Linked DNA regions of Schizosaccharomyces pombe. The gene in region 3 interacts genetically with the main gene of each other region. Each region holds a gene or a part of one and is shown on either strand. Other genes may lie near its edges. The genes, in order: pnk1, mst2, rad2 and rad57.

Evidence for each region.
Region 1: mutations in rad2 (region 3) and pnk1 together harm fitness more than expected from each alone (negative genetic interaction), as found in Schizosaccharomyces pombe (3 studies listed by BioGRID, with this or other methods).
Region 2: mutations in rad2 (region 3) and mst2 together harm fitness more than expected from each alone (negative genetic interaction), as found in Schizosaccharomyces pombe (2 studies listed by BioGRID).
Region 4: mutations in rad2 (region 3) and rad57 together harm fitness more than expected from each alone (negative genetic interaction), as found in Schizosaccharomyces pombe (4 studies listed by BioGRID, with this or other methods).

The regions. Positions count from the first base shown.
Region 1 is NC_003424.3:2,135,481-2,141,306, reverse strand, and holds pnk1 (DNA kinase/phosphatase Pnk1), read left to right. Parts: upstream 1-1,839; 5' UTR 1,840-1,868; coding exon 1,869-2,409; exon of another isoform or gene 2,410-2,432; intron 2,433-2,462; coding exon 2,463-2,858; intron 2,859-2,897; coding exon 2,898-3,040; intron 3,041-3,096; coding exon 3,097-3,243; 3' UTR 3,244-3,365; coding exon of another isoform or gene 3,366-5,162; 3' UTR 5,163-5,273; downstream 5,274-5,826. Other genes in the region: ipp1 (inorganic pyrophosphatase), read right to left, coding at 1-778; mpp10 (U3 snoRNP-associated protein Mpp1), read right to left, coding at 3,366-5,162; rps23 (40S ribosomal protein uS12), read left to right, coding at 5,519-5,826. UniProt on the Schizosaccharomyces pombe protein: Catalyzes the phosphorylation of DNA at 5'-hydroxyl termini and can dephosphorylate its 3'-phosphate termini. Has a role in the repair of breaks in single-stranded DNA.
Region 2 is NC_003424.3:2,362,946-2,368,695, reverse strand, and holds mst2 (histone acetyltransferase Mst2), read left to right. Parts: upstream 1-1,761; 5' UTR 1,762-1,862; coding exon 1,863-2,315; exon of another isoform or gene 2,316-2,431; coding exon 2,432-2,521; exon of another isoform or gene 2,522-2,568; coding exon 2,569-3,249; 3' UTR 3,250-3,301; coding exon of another isoform or gene 3,302-5,128; 3' UTR 5,129-5,197; downstream 5,198-5,750. Other genes in the region: protein kinase C (PKC)-like Pck1, read left to right, coding at 1-439, 495-696, 741-929, 971-1,154, 1,200-1,291; exocyst complex subunit Sec3, read right to left, coding at 3,302-5,128. UniProt on the Schizosaccharomyces pombe protein: Component of the mst2 complex which is a highly specific H3 lysine 14 (H3K14) acetyltransferase that functions together with gcn5 to regulate global levels of H3K14 acetylation (H3K14ac), critical for DNA damage checkpoint activation.
Region 3 is NC_003424.3:5,389,065-5,393,432, reverse strand, and holds rad2 (FEN-1 endonuclease Rad2), read left to right. Parts: upstream 1-2,010; 5' UTR 2,011-2,171; coding exon 2,172-2,184; intron 2,185-2,253; coding exon 2,254-2,344; exon of another isoform or gene 2,345-2,521; intron 2,522-2,529; exon of another isoform or gene 2,530-2,725; coding exon 2,726-3,764; 3' UTR 3,765-3,847; downstream 3,848-4,368. Other genes in the region: SPOM_SPAC3G6.07 (uncharacterized protein), read right to left, coding at 783-1,160; SPOM_SPAC3G6.05 (Mpv17/PMP22 family protein 1), read right to left, coding at 4,038-4,110, 4,180-4,277, 4,342-4,368. UniProt on the Schizosaccharomyces pombe protein: Structure-specific nuclease with 5'-flap endonuclease and 5'-3' exonuclease activities involved in DNA replication and repair.
Region 4 is NC_003424.3:2,121,190-2,125,044, forward strand, and holds rad57 (DNA recombination mediator, RecA family ATPase Rad57/Rhp57), read left to right. Parts: upstream 1-1,840; 5' UTR 1,841-2,100; coding exon 2,101-2,167; exon of another isoform or gene 2,168-2,262; coding exon 2,263-3,260; 3' UTR 3,261-3,317; downstream 3,318-3,855. Other genes in the region: gpl1 (Gpl1-Gih35-Wdr83 complex RNA-binding subunit), read right to left, coding at 1-1,019; whi2 (phosphatase activator), read left to right, coding at 3,803-3,855. UniProt on the Schizosaccharomyces pombe protein: Involved in recombination DNA repair and in the repair of gamma-ray-induced damage.

The DNA.
Region 1 (5,826 bases), 3.3 Mb from region 3:
AAACGGAAGGGTCATTGGCAACAGATCCAGTGACTGAAACATTGACCAAAGAAAAGTCAGACTTGGCATCAGTCTTACCGGTAATAAGGCGCTCCCAAGCTTCATTGCACTCACGAACAACTTCTTCAGCATACTTACGGTTCTTGCATTCACCACTGAAAGCAAAGGAATTTTCAGGCTTGCCATCGGGGATCTTGTAAATGCGGAACCACTCGTTAGTAGCACGGATTAAGCCAGGCATATGACGTTCAACATCCTCAATATCATTAAGCTTAGGAGCTAAAGGGTCATTAACGTCGATGACAATAACCTTCCAGTCAGTCTCACCCTCGTCAAGAAGGGCCATAACACCCAAGACCTTAACTTGCTTGACTTGGCCGGTGTAGCCACGAGCTTCACCGATCTCACAAACATCGAGAGGATCGCTATCACCCTTGGCCTTGGTTTCAGGATGAACAACATTAGGATCCTCATAGGTTTGAGGAAAAGCACCGTAGTTCCAAATGTAACCGTGGTGAGGAAAGCAGTTACGAACGAAACGAAGCTTACCCTTCTTAGTATCTTGCTTGATAGGGTTCAAGGTAGCTTCCTTGGTAATTTCAAGCTTAGCCTGAGTCCAACGAGGGATCTCAACGACCATGTTCAAGATGGTCTTCTCAGCATTGGCATACAAGGGGATATCGTGCCAAGAAGAGATAGGAGTACCATTTTTCTCAACATAGACTTGGTAGTCCAATGTGTTCAAAGCGCCAACTTCACGGGTAGTGTATTCACTCATGACTGAAAAGTGTTTTTGGTTAAGTACAGGTTGCAATGTGCACTAATTCGCAACATCTGCTACAAAATTTGTAACTCAATGTATACAAAAAATCTTATATTAATTTATAAAATTTTCTAAGGAACAGGTTTATATTTTTAATATCGCATGTTTTTATTTTATACAGCATAAAGATGGATTTGTGAATCTTACATAGGGTAATACTGTTATAAAGTTACTTTCTTTAGCAATACTTTATTAAATGATTGATAGTAAAGGAGATTTCCACAACATGATAAAAATTTAGCACAAATAAATTATTAAAATTAAATTGTTTTACGAGAATTTATCAATTTTTTATATTAAACACAATCAAAGATATTTATTAGCCTTGTATGCAGGTTTCTTTTCTGTCGATATGGATCTTGTGGAATACTGATTTTGCGATCAGTAAATTCTTGGCTGATGCAGTAGAAGCCATAATGTTTATATAAAAATATACGAAATATTTAAATTAATTAATTATGGAAATTTTTGTTTTTAAATTCCAGATCAGCTACTAAAAAAGATAAATGACAAACGAAAAAATAATGCAAAAAAAAGCTCATACATAAAAACAAAATATTGCCGATGTCCTTCATTTTTTGTTTAAAAATAAACGGTTTAATTTTAAACGATACCAAAAAAAAAAAACTAATGTTCGTAAATAACGAGATATGCAATTGTTAATGAATAAGATGTAGGTCTCAAATATGTTATTTGTGAAATCTTTGAATGGTTGCCAAATAATAAATTAGACGAATAAATTAAAGAATTTTCTTGTTATTTATTGTCTAAATTTCTTCGAATAAGAATTATTTTCAAGTCAGTAAACATATTAAATCTTCGATTAAGGACTATATGATATAATATATCTTCTCACTAATTGTTGTATATGAGGCATTTTATGTAATTGATCAAAAACAATTGAAAATTCAATAGAGCGAAAAATAAAATTTTCATCTGTTATCCATTTTTAAGTATGTTATTGAAACCACCCATTTTCATTGCTATGCAATTATAATATAGCTAACTCAATTACCAAGTCCCATTTAGTATTTCGTCAATCGCGATGTCGTCGAAAAAAAGAAAGTCTCCCCCCCAGGAATCTTTAACTTCATATTTTGAAAAATCGTCTAAATCCTCAAAAAAGTACGGCTCTCAAAACAAAGATTCTGATTCATCCTCGACATGCCTTCAACAGAAAATAGAAATTCAATGGAGCATCACCGATTCATTATACATAGCAAAGTATGGAAAACTAAAAAAGACTAAAAAATTTATTGCATTTGATTTAGATGGAACGCTCATAAAAACTAAATCTGGTAGAGTATTTTCAAAAGATGCAGCTGACTGGACCTGGTGGCATCCAAGCGTTGTCCCAAAATTGAAGGCTTTATACCAAGACAATTATTCTCTTGTTATTTTCAGTAATCAAAACGGAATTCCAAGAAAACCTTCTGCCGGACATACCTTTCAGATGAAGATTCGTGCTATTTTTGAGTCATTAGATCTACCTATTGTATTGTATGCTGCCATCTTGAAAGATAAGTTTAGAAAACCATTGACAGGAATGTGGAATTCCTTTTTAAAAGACGTGAACCGTTCAATTGGTGAGTTGACGCTTGTAATTTATCAAGGCCTATTAACATTTTTCACCCTTTAGATTTATCTTTCATCAAATACGTAGGTGATGCTGCAGGCCGTCCGGGTGATCATAATTCAACTGATTTAAAGTTTGCTGAAAACATTGGGATTAAATTTGAGACGCCCGAGCAATTTTTCTTGGGGCATTCATTTGTGCCTCCAAACTTTGAATCATTTCATCCAAAGAATTACCTTGTAAGAAATTCTTCTTCACATCCATACCATTTTAAAAAATCCGAGCATCAAGAAATTGTTGTTTTAGTTGGGTTTCCTTCTTCTGGGAAGAGTACTTTAGCTGAATCTCAGATTGTCACTCAAGGATACGAAAGGGTAAATCAAGACATCTTAAAAACGAAATCAAAATGCATCAAGGCTGCCATAGAGGCACTTAAAAAAGAAAAATCGGTTGTCATAGGTATGTACTCGATCATTTCAACGACTTACGCGATTTCAGACAACACAAACCCTACAATAGAATCACGAAAAATGTGGATTGACATAGCCCAAGAATTTGAGATCCCTATACGCTGCATTCATCTTCAGTCATCTGAGGAACTTGCCAGACACAACAACGTTTTCCGTTACATTCACCATAACGTAAGTTACCTGTTGGAGCATTAGAAAGACTTAGAAGAATTCCTAACCAATTCTAGCAAAAACAACTTCCCGAGATAGCGTTTAATTCTTTCAAATCTCGTTTTCAAATGCCAACAGTAGAAGAAGGTTTTACAAATGTTGAAGAAGTTCCTTTTAAATGCCTTAAAGACTATGAAGATACATGGAATTATTGGTACGAATAATACGAATGATATCTAAGAAATTATTAAATTGCATTAATTTCAAAAATATATAGTTATTGATCCCACTAAAACCAAACGTTTATAAAAATTATGACTAGCACACTTAACACCGAAATTTATCTTCAAAGCTTTAGCTGATTTGAAGAAACAATCGGATGATATTTGTTTGAATTACTTGCAACCTTTTTGCGCTCACCTCCTTTACCAATGACCTCAACATTCGATTTTGATAATTGACGAACGACTTGTTCAGTACCGGAATTCCTTCTTTTCTCAGCCATTTGCTTACGTTTCTCAGCATGTTTTCTACGCACCCGCCTGCGGCGTGCTTGCTTTTGTTGGTGGTCCATTTCAGTCGATGAAATGGCGATACCTGACCGAGTAATAGTTTCACCTTCACGATTCTCATTAGACGGTTTATAAACTTCTTGAGGAGCCAATGCCATAGTGTCAGAGGCAGCAGTTGGCTGAACGTCCTCCATTGCTAAAGTGGGTGCATTAGAAACAATTTCAACAGTAGACTCAGGAGGAGGGGGAACATAATGCCAAGAAGCAAGAGAATCTAAAGTGCGGCTGACTTCCGAAAACAATGCCTTGATTTCTTCATGTTCTTTTTCTTTCTTTTTATCAGCTTCACTCTTATATGTGTCGGCGTTGCTCTTTTTAAGGAATTCTTCTTCATATTCTTCTGCTAAAGAACGCTGAGACTTATTTTCGTTTAACTCGAATAATTCGCTTGGTCGAAATTCAGTAACAGCAACTGGCGCGCGTTTAGGTACATCATCAAATGTTTTGGAAATAATTCGGTTTTTAATTAAATCTTCTAATGTCTCAGTAGTCTCTTCCGTTTGTACAGGGACAGGTTTAGCACCAGTTTCAAATTCCAAATCAACGTCTAACAGTGAATTAGAAGGTCGTCCTTTAGACGTTGCCTCCCCCATCATGGTCCAGGACTTCTTGGCAACGTTTTCAGCCTCGAGCTCACGAATTTGCTGAGTCAAACGGGCTTTATCGCGCTCATAAGAAGATAATTGATCAGCTGAAACATCGTCTTCTTCGTCACTAGCAAATAAATCTTTCTTCACTCGATCAAAGGTAGCATACTCATTGTCAGAGCTCTCATTATTTTCTTCAATAACATTTTGTTGCACATCATTTTTGAAATCCGGTTTACTTGTTCTTTTTCTTTTGGATTCGGCCTTTTTCTTTTTTAGTTCACGGCGACCGGCCGCTGTTTTTGGACCAAAAAAATCTTCGTACATAATGGAGTCAGCCTGAGGACCATTTGATTCATCTTCAGAGTCTTCCATATTCTCATCGGGATCCATTAACAAGTCAATACCGTCATCTTCATCGCCGAGGACACCCTCTTCGACTGCTTCCTCTTCTAAAGCTAAGGTTTGCTTGTTAAAATTATCAATATCAAAAAAACCATCATTAAGTCCAAATGCGTCTTTTTTCTGTTCGATTTGTTGTCCTTCTTCATTCATAATTTCAGCTTCATCTCCTGAAACATCTTCGGCAGAACTTTCGTCGACATCTTCTAGATTTTCTGGACCAGAGAACCCTAAAAATTCATCATCAGCATCATCCCGATTGTTCATTTCACTATTGTCAGAGAGTTCCTGATGACTTGTTTCATCATCCTCATCCTGGAAAGAAGTAATGCTATCTTCTTCTTCGTCTTCGTTTTCAACATCAACTTGAGGGAGATCATCTAATGCATACTTGGCAGCTAATGCTAGTTGGTTATATATTTGCCAATTATCTAATCCTTTTGTGACAATTGTTTGGATGGGACTTGTAGATGGGATTTTTATATTTGAGAAAACCTCAATAGCTTTTTCAACCAATTGCTTTGAATCCTCTTTATTCGGGAACAAAAAGAGTGTTGGCTCGGAATTTATAAGTTCAGTCATATCAAATCTTTTTTTTTTTTTAAATCTCACAAAACTTTGACTAAATATCTTGGAAGTATTCCAAGTACGAAACAAATAAATACCAATTGAGCTTAAATATTACACACCAAACCTTTTGCAAAGTACTTGCAACTCCTTTTTCCAAAATAATCAAAAAGACGTATGTTTTTTGTTTTAGATGTTTTTTCTTTTTTGTAATGTAGTAAAATTTTAGTAAGTATGGGCATCAACAATTTACTTAGTGAAGCGTTGCGTACTATATTATATAAGAAGGGTAGGGTTTGTGACTGTTTTGGACATAAAGCTAAGTTCACCTAAATCCAACACACAGTTCGCCGCAACCTCTATACTACAAAATGGGAAAACCCGCAGGATTGAACGCCGCTCGTAAGCTTCGCAATCATCGCCGTGAGGAGCGTTGGGCCGATGCTCATTACAAGAAGCGCTTATTGGGAACCGCTTACAAGTCATCACCTTTCGGTGGATCGTCTCATGCTAAGGGTATCGTTGTCGAAAAGATTGGTGTAGAAGCTAAGCAACCTAACTCTGCTATTCGTAAATGTGTTCGTGTTCAGTTGATCAAGAATGGTAAGAAAGTTACCGCTTTCGTTCCCCACGATGGTTGTCTCAACTTCGTTGATGAAAACGACGAAGTTCTTCTTTC
Region 2 (5,750 bases), 3.0 Mb from region 3:
CTACTCCTACTCCAGCTTCTGTTCTTGCTCCACCTTCCAGTGCTAGCTTATCGTCTTCCAAGGATGCTAATAGAAGTGTTCCAGAAAGTCCACGCAGAGAGAAAAAGAATCGTGTTACGCTTGACGACTTCACATTTTTGGCTGTATTAGGGAAAGGCAATTTTGGCAAGGTTATGTTGGCTGAATATAAAGTGAATAAAAAGTTTTATGCCATCAAAGTTCTGAAAAAAGAAGCCATTTTAAAGAATGAGGAACTAGAGAGTTTAAAAACTGAAAAGCATGTTTTCGAAGTCGCGAATAAAGAAAAACATCCGTTCTTGCTGAATCTTTTTGCAAGCTTTCAAACTAGTACCAGGGTTTACTTCGTTATGGAATATATTCTTGGTGGTGACCTTATGGTTCATATTCAACGTCAACAGTTTAGCGTGAAACGTGCAAGGTAGTACTTCAATCTTTATTTTTATTTTTATTTTTATTTTTTATTAACCCCATAGATTTTATGGTGCTGAGGTTTGTTTAGCATTGAAGTATTTTCATGAGAATGGAATTGCTTACCGTGATTTGAAATTGGATAATATTCTACTTTGTCCTGATGGTCATATACGAATTGCTGATTATGGACTCTGCAAAGAAAATATGTTGCTTGGCAATACAACTTCCACCTTTTGTGGTACCCCCGAATTCATGGCTCCAGAAGTAAGGCGGAACTTGTTTTGGTTTATTTTATCTAACGAAAATAGATTTTATTAGAACAGCAATATTCCAAGGATGTTGATTGGTGGGCTTTTGGCGTTTTGATGTATCAAATGTTACTGGGTCAATCCCCTTTCAAAGGTGAAGATGAAGAGGAAATATTCGATGCGATTTTAAGCGATGAACCGTTGTTTCCGATTAATATGCCAGCGGATGCGGTTTCGTTATTGAGAGGGGTATGCAAATTTCTAAATATGTTAACTAATTCAAAAAATAGCTTTTAACAAGAGATCCAAATCAACGACTTGGTAGTGGACCAAAAGACGCAAACGAGGTTATGGCTCATCCTTTCTTTGCTAGTATTGTCTGGGATGACTTGTATAACAAACTTTATGAACCATCATATAAACCGCTTATCAACGATCCCCGAGACCTCAATAATTTTGATGAAGAATTTACAAGTATGACAATTGTTAAAATATGGTTAATTACTAACGATCGATTAGGTGCATGTCCAACTTTGACACCTGTCAATACTGTTCTCACACGACAACAACAAGAGTGTTTCAGAGGATTTTCCAGTTTTGCTACTGAATAGAATTAGCTTGTCCTTTGCTTCTGCTTTTTTAAAATTAGAAAATTATGGTAACAATTTCATATAGTTCTGATGCTGCTTCCTTTGCATTCTTACACTTAATTTAGTGTACTCACCCTTTACATGATATTTTTTTTACTTTTCTACGTGTTCATATTTAAAAAATTTCTGCATTTATCATCATTACATTACTTGAAAATAAAGTCGAAATTAGAGAATAATTAAAGTGGCATTAAAACTACTAATGTAAAACTTATCGTTGAATCACCCAAGGTGACTTTGTAGTATTTATACGCAACGTTTGTAATGGCATTCAATCAAAAAGCTAACAGTGAAGTTATGAATGGTTACTGTTTCAGAATACAAAAGTAAAAAATATGAGTAGTTTTTTATTTAACAAGAGTGAAAGGGTTATCTTTGCAGAGATCGGATGGAGGTGGAAGTAAAGCAAGAACTAAGAAGAGAATGAGGGCACTACCACCAACTCAATTATATTGACCAAAGGATTAAATGGGGCCATTAGGAAAACTATGAACGATCTGTAAATATAAACAATCTTTTTTTTTTATGTATAATGCCGGCGACTATTTTGAAATCCACAGCCAGTTCAAAGACTTTGTTAATAATAAAGTTTGATACAAACTCCTCCAGATATCCATTTTATAAGAAACATTTATTAGAGTTAAATTCGGAAAGTACTTTTTTGGGTCTATTAACTAAAGGGCAAGCTGACACATCGATTACGAGACTCAACCAAGACGATGTGAGGCTGTTTGAAAAAGCAAAGACAGTAGCAGATAGGACAAAGGATGTGGCTTATTCATTTTCCGATCCTATTTTATCTACACAGTTGCGAACGCCTCCACCACAACCAACCTCCATTCGATACCTCTATTTTGGTACTTACCGGATAAAACCATGGTATACATCACCGTATCCAGAGGAGTATAGCTGTGCAAAAAATTTATATATATGCGAATCTTGTTTAAAGTATATGAACAGTGATCATGTACTACAAAGGCACAAGGTAAACAACTTTTCAAGTAAGATCATAATGTTATTCGCTATTGCTTGAGTTTAAACGAGGTGTACATTAAAAGATCATAATCTATCCAAATTGAATTTACGGACTAACATAATCAGATGAAATGCTCATGGAGTTATCCACCAGGAGATGAAATATATCGGGATAAGAATATATCAATTTTTGAAGTTGATGGTCAACGGCAACCGGTAAGTAATTTTTTATGCATTTTATACTTATTGATGTTTTTCCTTAGATATATTGTCAAAATTTATGTCTTCTAGCAAAGATGTTTCTTCATTCAAAAATGCTGTACTATGACGTTGAACCGTTTCTTTTCTATGTATTGACTGAATTTGATGGCCAAGAATGCAAAGTTATTGGATATTTCAGTAAAGAGAAACGCTCGGCTTCTGATTATAACGTTTCCTGTATATTAACATTACCCATTTACCAACGCCGAGGATATGGTGTCTTTTTGATTGATTTTAGTTATTTACTTACACAGGTAGAAGGTAAGCTTGGATCACCTGAAAAGCCACTTTCAGATTTAGGCCTCGTTACGTACCGAAGCTATTGGAAAATGAGAGTAGCCAAAGCTCTATTGGAAATCACAACACCGATTAGCATAAATGCTATCGCCAAATCAACATCTATGGTATGCGACGATGTTATATCCACATTGGAATCGTTATCTGTATTTAAGTATGATCCGCTCAAAAAGAAATATGTATTACAACTGAAACGGGATGAACTTGAGAATGTTTATAAAGCTTGGAATATCAAACACCCTCAAAGAGTAAATCCAAAACTTCTAAGATGGACGCCATATCTCGGAGAAGAGCAGATATCTAACCTTTTACTTAAAGAAAATATACTTATTCCTCTACCTCAAAAGCGTCTATTAGATAACTCTCATCATCTGGATTCCGTTTAGTTCAAATAAATAAGTATTTTAATCTTTCGATATTTGTCGTGAAGCATTTGTATCATCTACGGCTTGGTTGTTGCTCTATATTAATGACGCCATTTAATGCAGTAGACAACTCTAGGGAAAATAAGTTGATGGTTGAATTGATAGACTCACAACCTAAAGCACAATCTTGAAGTTGGCTCTTAATGTTTTGCAATTCGATTTCTTCTTCAGCAAGGTTTTCCACACTGCTTATGATAGCTCCATCAAACGAAAATTCTGTTTGTTTCAATACATCTTTTATAGTTGTACCTTCATTCCACTTCAAAGTGGAAAGACGAGAAATGCTTTGCTCCGGAATGTTTTTGAGGTTGATTTTTGAGTTAAGATCGTAAACTTTTTCAACAGAAGCTTGGTGCGGTTTAGTCGGAATGGAAGTAACAAGAGTTTTCTTGGCTTTTGGCTTGGAAGTGGTTTTTCTATTTTCAAAGCGCAAACTTTCAAAAAGGGGAAGAAGTTCATTTCCTATAGAAGGCTCGTCGTTTGGTGGTTCGATTTGTTTACCAGTCGAAGGAGTTGCCCGAACAGTTGGCTGACGGGACGGGTGCTTTGGAGGTAATTTAGGAATAGCCGGTGCTCCTGTTGGTTTTCGAGAAACAGACTTTGCTGATACTTTAGACGAACTGGAAGGCTTGTAAGATGACGTTAATACTGAAGGAGTTTCTAAGCTAGAAGATAAAGCTGCCTGGGTAGCATCACGATCCACTTTACTAAAATCGCTAGCAAATGTGTTTGACTCCAAAGAAGAGCTTAGTTTCACGTCTTTTTGAGACATATTATACTTACCAGCTTCTAGTGCCAAAGCTGTATTTTTCTCGTAAGAACCACTGATGCTATTCTTACCCCTTTCCGAAGAACTCGTTCCACTGTTAAATGAGGGTGCTTGTTCACGACGAGTAGTTTTACGTAAAGAAGGTTTAGATGGAAACAATTGAGCTTGTTCTTGAATAAACATTTCCCGTGTTTGATTATCTCGTCTTTGAGTTGAAGTATCGAATAAGACATCATCTTTTCGGTCTCCTGAAGTCCTTGCAATGGCAGAAGAACTTGAAATTTCTATAACATCACTATGGGCAGATGATGGGGTCCCCCGGGAAACGTTGGAAGAAGGCTTATTGTCAGAAAACCGTCTTTCTTTTTCAACACTCAACTTCTTTTTGGCTGATCGAGAAGAATCAATAGTGAGCTTCTTCTCGATGCGAGGCTGATCCGTTTCTAAATTGGTAACAATTGGGCCGTCCGAAAAATTACGGTTATGTGCGACTCGAGAGTTAAAAGATGAGGAAACTTGTTCTGAAGAATTTTCAGGTAATGATGACCTTGCTTTAGGAATAGCTAGGCTCTTTGCAGGATAGAGATTAGGTTTGTTATCAGCAAAGGAATTACGATAGGCCCAGTCCACTTTGCGGCCATCAGTCGTAGTCACTGAAAGCGGCCTGCCCATATAGTACATATAATTTTTAGCAACAGAAAAAACAAATCGATCGCGAGCAGAAGTGTCCTGAGTTCGCAACAAATGTGGCTTGTTTATTGTCATAGTAACATCATGATCATTAATTACAGTAATATTCTGCAACTCAAATAAAGGCCAGGATTTCACGACTGTCATTCCGCCTTTATCATTTACTTTCAATCTGTGTATATAAAAAATACGAGTCACATCATCACAAGTCAAAGCAATGTAGCGGGGTTTCATCTTTGAGCCAACAACATTAACTCCTCTTTCTTCCTCCACCGGAAGATATGCTAATGATTGCTCATGAGCTTTCCGTTTATCGGTAGTTTGAGCCGAATTGACAGCTTGTAGAATTTCTTGTTCAACGGCATTAGGGTTAGAAGCCATTCGTCTGAAGTGGTGTATTAAATGAAAAAAATTGGGTTAAATAGATAAATATTAACAAAAAAAAAACCATTAATTAAACATTCTACCACTTTCCAATGGCAAGTAATACTGAAAGCGCCTTATTCAACGGAAAAACAAATTTTCTAAGGAAACGAGACTTTTTTTTAATTCACAGAGTCTTTATAAGCAAGGGATAAAATTTTCTTGTAAAATTGAATTCTAGCGGTAAAGAAATATATAAATTTGATAATAATTTTTACAATTGTGGTGGAATGGTGGGTTAATAAGGAGAAATGTCAAAACGTAAACAAGTGACATATGTAGGCAAATGCTATAGAAGTCGATTTTTTAAAGTTTATTTAAACTTGCAAGCATTGTCTACGTTCATAATATTTATATATATTTAAACATCTTTAAATATTTTTGCTGTGCATGAAAAGTACAATAATCCATAACTTTTTTGTTGATGACTTCGCTGTACTTTATGGCAGCTTTGTTTATTCGACGAGCTTAAAAAATCCAAATTATTGAAACAGGAAACACATTGATAGCCATAGTGTAATTCTAATTGCATAACCAGCAACGTTTAAAATGGTTAGCTATAGTTAAGTATTAGTACTAC
Region 3 (4,368 bases):
AATCGTATTTATTAAAACTTGTAATAAGCTAATTTGAGTTGTCTAGATGTAAACATTTATCACGTAAAACTAGTCCTTTAATAAATTGAAGATTTGAACTATAAAGCGTACTGTGTGAAATTAGGAAAGTATTATAAGTTTATCGCATAAAAGTTTGAAAACCATACCTAATTTTAGGAGCCAACCCTGAATTTATTTTTTTTTTTATTCTTATTTTTTTTTTTGTAAGACTAAACATAATACATTCAAACCTAGTGCATCAATAATCGAGAATAAAACTCGAATAACATTTTGAACCCTTTTTGCAATGAACAAGATTCATTCTTTGTAATCAAATGTAAATTCGAAAAGTAATGTAATATTAAGGAATGTTTCCTTAACTCGATTTGGGATCAACAAATAGAGGTTCAACTTTGATTATATCACTGTGCATACTATAACATGTATTTTTTTAAGTTTGTTTTTTCAAAAGGTTACAGATCGATTTACTAAGCTACAAAATTCAAAAAACTTAAAAAATTCAATACTTGCAAAGCAAAGAAGCAGAAAAAAAGATCCAAAAAAAAAGGATTACATTTATTTTGTTGAATTTATTATTTTTTTTAAAAAATAAATAACTTAACTAATGAATCACTATTTAGCAATTCTCTTTAGATTTGAATCCATAAAAATCATAACAATAAGCGAAGCAATATAACTGGTATTTGCTTATAAAATGAGCGATTCATGCAAGCAGAAAGTTCTTTAAAAACAAAAGAAAACATTAAAATAGATTTAGCACTTCACTTTGGCGTTATAATATCTCCATGTTTTTTTACATGATCACGATACACTCGATATGGTAAAACCAGTGTATACTTTGGCATAACAAAATCATCTCCAACAAACGATTCATCCTCAACATATGTTTTAAGAAATTGTAACACTTCGGTTTGATCAGCTTTAGTGAGGTCGATGTATATATACAACAAATATGAAAATTGGAAAATGGTATTAGCAGTTGCTTTATAAACCACAAACGATTGGTAATATTGTCTACCTTTGTTATAATAGTCTATAACATCAGGAATAACACTGTTTTTTTCCTTTTCATTAGAGACATCTTCTCCTTCGTAATCGGCAGGTGCCAATGTTAAGTATGGCGAGCTTTGTTCAGACATTGTTCTTGCTTTCACAGGTAAATTGAGGTTGCACTGGGATATGAGTATACTGTAAGCAAGGCGCGCAGCATCTCATATAATATTCTTTCAACGAGCCGACATTAACTAGAATTTGCCAACGTAAGATCAGAATGACGTTTTGATCCGCACGAAATACGTCGGTAAAGGAACCTTATTAGTAGAATATTGCAATATTGTTCGTTGTCTGCATACTACACAAGCGATACCATAAACTGGTTACGATTATATTTTCGACGATTCAGTAGCAGATATGGCGAGTTTCAAATAATACTCTCTTGGTAAAATGCCTATTATCCAACATTGTTCCATGAATCAAGGCTATTGTTCTATTAAAAATATTACGTTGAGCAATTCAAGCGGCTTTCTCACTACGGTATCTCAGTACCGTAAAACCACTGGTTTATTCTCATAAAAACAACCTTATGTTACACAGACTTACATCTAGCCAAGTCAATAGGGTTTCGGTAAAGTTCCAATGTACTTTTCATCCTATTCCTTATCCGGAAAAAGGAATCGATCATTTTTCCAGAATTTCTGATGGTACATTACCTTTTCGAGATCTTTTCGTGGTAGTAAACTGCGAGGTGATTTACATTTTACAGCCGTGCTGCCACCAAAACCACAAGAACCTCAATTTGGTAATCTTAAAATTTCTAATTTGTTCCTTCTAGAAATCCTTTTTTAAAAGCTATAATACATGGGAATTTTCAGTATAAATTGGCTGGTCCCTTTCCTTGTATTTACATTCTTTGGTCGATCATTCTTTATGGAAAAGTAACATGTGATTTACTGAATCGACTCTTTGACGTGGATACTACTGCTGGTAGCTAAGAACCTTTGTGTGAGTGAGCAAAGTAAAAACTGCTCGATTTTGAGGAGTATAATACATCTAGCAAAAATTGAAAATTTAATAAGAAGCTCTAAGCTAGTTTTGGAGAAAGCGTTGTTCGGGATCTCGTAATATACATAAATAAGTATATTTGCTAAACGATGGGAATTAAAGGTATGTTACATTTAACGCTAAAGAGTTTATCTTTTACTCTCTCCTTTACTTAAAACTAATCTGGGTTAGGTTTGGCTCAAGTACTAAGCGAGCATGCCCCAGCCAGTGTCAAACATAATGATATTAAAAATTATTTTGGACGGAAAGTGGCTATAGATGCGTAAGTTGAAAGACTAAATAGAAAGCGAAAGTCTCAGTTGACTTGGCAAAGACTGTATGGCTTCTGATTTTGTTTGTAAATATGGGTTAAACACTATGGTGTACAGTTTTTATTGCTAAAGAGCAAAGCTCTATGTCTTAACTCGAGACAAAGATATGATACAAACGAAATATAGAATAAAGGATGAATAAATTTTCACTAACAGTGACTCGGTTAAATTCATTGCTCAAGGTATTTTACATCATTTCTTTACTTTGTTGGTTCTTGAAGTTGCAAACACTAATAGGTCAAACTCTATTCAACTGATTCTTTCCTTTTCGAAGGGTTGATTTATAAAGTCTTCTTGAGGTACTTTATTAATGCTAATTTCGTATATTACAGGTCAATGAGTCTTTATCAATTTTTAATTCAAGTTCGCAGTCAAGATGGTCAACAGCTAATGAATGAACAAGGCGAGACTACTAGTCATTTAATGGGAATGTTTTATCGTACACTCCGAATTGTCGATAATGGAATAAAGCCTTGCTTTGTCTTTGATGGAAAACCACCAACATTGAAGTCAGGGGAATTAGCTAAACGTGTGGCCCGACATCAAAAAGCACGAGAGGATCAAGAGGAGACAAAAGAGGTTGGTACAGCTGAAATGGTGGATCGGTTTGCCAAACGTACGGTCAAAGTTACTCGGCAACATAATGACGAAGCAAAACGTTTACTAGAGTTAATGGGAATTCCCTTCGTTAACGCACCCTGTGAAGCAGAAGCTCAATGTGCCGCTTTAGCCCGTTCAGGAAAAGTTTATGCTGCTGCTTCTGAGGACATGGACACATTGTGCTTCCAAGCTCCTGTACTTTTGAGACACCTGACATTTAGTGAGCAAAGAAAGGAACCAATTAGTGAGTATAACATAGAAAAAGCATTGAATGGTTTAGATATGTCGGTGGAGCAGTTTGTAGACTTGTGTATTCTTTTGGGTTGTGACTATTGTGAACCTATTCGGGGAGTTGGCCCCGCTAGAGCCGTCGAGTTAATTAGGCAATACGGGACTCTCGATCGCTTTGTCAAAGAGGCGGATCGATCAAAATATCCTATTCCGGAAGATTGGCCTTATGAAGATGCCAGAAGACTGTTTTTGGATGCAGAAGTACTTCCTGGTGAAGAGATTGAGTTGAAATGGAAAAGTCCCGATGCAGATGGCATTATACAATTTCTGGTTAAGGAAAAAGGTTTCAATGAAGATCGTGTTAAATTGGGGATCAATAGACTAGAAAAAGCCTCAAAGACAATTCCACAGGGTCGTCTTGATTCCTTTTTTAAACCAGTCCCTTCTTCTCCCAAAAAACCTGTAGATACAAAGAGCAAAGGATCAGCAAAAAGGAAAAGAGATTCAAATAAGGGTGGTGAAAGCAAGAAAAAGCGTTGAAAACGAAGTCATGTAATTGTTATTAATCTAAAAAAAAAACTTAAAAAAAGCAAGACGCATGTAGATAAAACTATACTACGCTATAATAATAGTAAATCTGTTTAATGCATGACTTTTACGTAAAAATAATTAGTCTAAGGAGGTAATTCTGATCATATAAGCTAATAATGGTATACAAAACTCGTTTCTAAGTAATAATATGCCAAAAAACAATCTGGCTGATACAACTCAAAAAACGAAAAGCAGTGGATTCGGACGATGGATCAAAGATCTTTAAAATAGTTCAATTTCTTGTGAGCCAGATTCTTGCATTGAAGAAGCGTTCTTCAAACTAAGAAATATGTTCCTAATTGAAATTAGCAAAGGCGAAAAAACTAGGAGCAAAAATGCTTTATGTCTCTTGGAAACAACATACCAAAAAATAGCAACCGTACAAGCAAATGGCATTTGGTATTGTAAGGGCATTAGCCAAAAGTTCACAGTTTGAAAGAAGGGCCAGACCATATAATTAGCCTTTAAATGTTAGCAACAATACAACAGAACCATTTAAGAAAGAAAATTTAGAAATTAAGTGTACCTTTAAAGTGGGCCAGAAAACAGCTTG
Region 4 (3,855 bases), 3.3 Mb from region 3:
AAACTTGCTTCACCGTTGGAATTTGTTTCACTTTTCTCAGCAAAAAGTGGTAAGCGCTCATTTGAAGTTTGGGCTTTTTTTTGTGAAAATCCTTGAGAATTTGTAAAAAGTTTTGGCTCCCAACCCTCAGGTATTGTAGGAGGAGGAAACCAATTATTTTGAAAAGGTGATTGTAAATTAAATACCACTACAAATCCTGGAAGGGGAGGTAGACCATCTGAGCAATTTTGCGATTTGATTATGCTTTTCCCTTTGCTTCTGTCTTTTTTTGACAGAAAGGTATGCTTAACGGGTGTAAATGGAGAAGCGACTTTTTTTGTAATGTTGATAGATTTATCATACCGCATTTTTGGAGCACCGAGGTCGTATATATCTTGATCTTCTATCCCATCATCATTTAAAACACCTGATCCAAATCCACCGCGCAGATTTTTTGCCATTCCAACTGGTTTTCTTTCCAGCTGAAAAACATCGTCCGCTTGATACCCGATACCGTGATAAGCTTGGTTGGTTAACTTAGTGTCATCATAATACCCTTGAAATGGAGATATAACAAAATCATGACCGTTCCATCCAAGATTTTTTAACATTTTTTCGCCAATGCTATCGTCCCTATTTGAGAATTCTCTAAGTAGAGGATCATCAATTGGTATAGATGTATCAATCGTATTTATTTTCGAAGTATAAACTTTACTAAGCTCTTGGTCAGCACGATCTTCCTCGTCCATAATATCGTCAATAGTCATTCCATGCACACTTTTGTTTTCATTCCTTGAACTTTTCCAAGATTTAGGTTGCCAACCCTCTTTTGAACCAACCGTATTAAAATAGCCAGCAGAAAATCCACCAGTAAATGCACCATGAAATCTCTTTCTATTACGCTCATCCCTGGCTTCTTGTTTCCAAACAGGAACTCCTTGATTAATTCTGGACGGCTCAAGATCAAAAGGGGAGCCATAAACTACATAAGGGTGCCGATGAACATCGACATTGCTTCTTTTTCTTGAATTGGCATACATTTTAAAACAAGAAGTAATCGTGATCCGTAGTTAAACTGAAAAAAAAAAAATTCAAAATTCAAAATTTAAGGCATATTTTAGGATACTATAAGCCCATTATTTTTGAGGCGACAAGAATACTATGTTGAGCAACTTTTAATTTTTAATAAAGCCAGATAACTTATCAAAGAATTCTGATTTGTTGACAAAAGCAATTACAATACTCAATTTTTAAACAGTTGCCCTTGCTTCGAATTTCAGCTGCCTCCGTAGTGCAATCTGCGAGCGTTAGGGTACGTTATTTATCTATTACCTAATTCTTTGTACAGTTGAAGTTTCATGAGATGAAAAATGTATCATGTATATTTTGTCTGTTATTGAGAAATCTCAACAAAGTTCTATTTAGTATTACTTCATGTTGAACCAAGCATTCATAAACTAAGAAATTTGTTGGTAGCTGGTAAACTGAGCGAATTATCGTCGGTTGATTGGTAAAACATCATTTCTTATACTTCGTTTGCTCAACCATACTACGAATTTTAATGCCTAACAATTAATGAGCAATACACATTTGGATATGCTGCTTATATAATTTCACATATCTTGATAACTTAATTATCAATTAAGGAATGGTGGTTAGGCAAGTATGTGTATCATTACGTGGGGTTTTTCATAGATGTATGGTTTGAAGATGTTAAAAAAATAAGTGTAAGCGGTTACTATGCTAATGTTCTATAAAAACCAATGTTCATATAAATATTCGTCGATTGCGGGGCTTCTTCTCATAAGGATTATAATTACTAAACATAGAGGTATTGGCAGGTCAGTTGTAATTCGCGTACAACATCTTCGACTCACCACTTCTATAGTGGTACATAAATTACCGTTTCTTTCTGCGAAAAAGTGGGTTAGAAGTTCGTGCTATTACTTCTAAATAATCGTGAGAATTTAATTCAATCGTAGGATACAAAGCTGTTCATTATATAAAACTATCAACTTTCGAATATTCTATGGTGTGGATATAATTTTCATTTATCTTTATGAGTAAAAACTATACATATCATATTTACAATTAAAAATCTTCTTTCTTTCTACTATATGGATGGATATTTCGAATTATGTTGACAATTTCTACTTTGATGAGAAAATTGCTTCAGCATTTGAATTAGGTAAGCGTTTAGTAGTTCAATAAGCTTGCACATAAAAAAAAAATATTGGGTTTTTGTACCGGGATCTTAAAAGACGGAATTACTGACAGCTTTAGGAGAAGTAAGCACGGTTGATTTGTTAACGCTGGATATTACTGAGCTAGAAAGACGCACACATTGTAGTCAAAGTGAGTTATTACAGTTAATTGAGCAGATATCCCTCCTTCTTCAACCAGTAAGATGTTCTGCTTCCAAAGTCACTTCGAAATATTTGACAACTGGCGATGTAAAGTTGGATGAAACTCTACATGGAGGTATACCAGTAGGACAGTTAACTGAAATATGTGGTGAAAGCGGTTCAGGGAAGTCACAGTTTTGTATGCAGCTTTGTTTAATGGTTCAACTACCTCTCAGTTTAGGAGGAATGAACAAAGCAGCTGTCTTCATTTCTACAGAGTCCGGTCTTGAAACAAAACGATTATTTGAACTGGCGCGTTATTTACCAGAAAGGTATCCCAAAGCTGATAAGAAAGACATAATTATAAAAAATCCAGGAGATAGGGTGTATACTATATTATGCCCAGATCTGGAATCTCAAGAACATATCATTCAGTATCAACTGCCGATTTTATTCAATCGGGATAAAATTGGGTTGGTTATATTGGATAGTGTCGCCTCCAACTACAGAGCTGAGCTCCGTTACAACCGATCCAAAAGTCATTTTAGAGATTTAGATAATATTGCCAAACGTGGAAATCAATTGGGAAAGTTAGCTATGACTCTACGCACTTTAGCTCATCAACATGAAGCTGCTGTTGTCATAGCTAACCAAGTTAGCGATAGAATTCCTAGAGATTATGATGCTATTGGGTTGTTTAGTTTAGATTATCAATCGCAATGGTTTTCGGGATGGGATGACACAGATCCAAATCCCAAAATACCATCTCTTGGTCTCGTTTGGACTAATAACATCAGTACGAGATTAGCATTAATTAAGAAAACCGACTCTGCCACCAATAATTCGGGGAGAATCTTTCGGGTTGTTTATTCACCAAATTCTCCAAGGCTTGACGTACGAATATGCATAGGATCGGTTGGGATATATTCGTGCTAGCATTTTTGTAAAAATTTTATATATAATATAATAAAACCGGTTTATGAATTGCCCTAACTTTGTTTAATCGACTGTCGCTTATCAATCATTCGCAGAAAGAAAAGTAATGCTTTGAGTAACTGTTACATATATAAGTGTACTTATTTATCTTTATATTTATATTACCTCTGTCACTATTAAATATATATTTTGTTGATCTATGATGGTAGTGCATTTTTATTAGAATCCGACATACTTTAGTGGACTGAATTTTGGATATACCAGTTGGGTATTGAAATGGAAAAAAATACAATAAAAAGTTTTACACGTAACAAAGAATGCCCAAAGAGCTCTCTTAACCGACGAATGGCTTTTTCTACCTGTTTTTACTATTGCGCGTAAAAGATTTTGTAAGACCTTTCCGATAGCTTCCGCTATTGGCGATCCTTTAGAAATTTGCACCTAACATTTTTACCAAAAGCCAAGTATGCATTGGTGATATCTTGTAAATAAAAAATGAACATTCTTTTATAACATAATCGTTACAAAAATAGAACACAAAAATGTCAGTTCCAATTGATCGAATCAATACGGTTGACACTTTAGCCAATACACT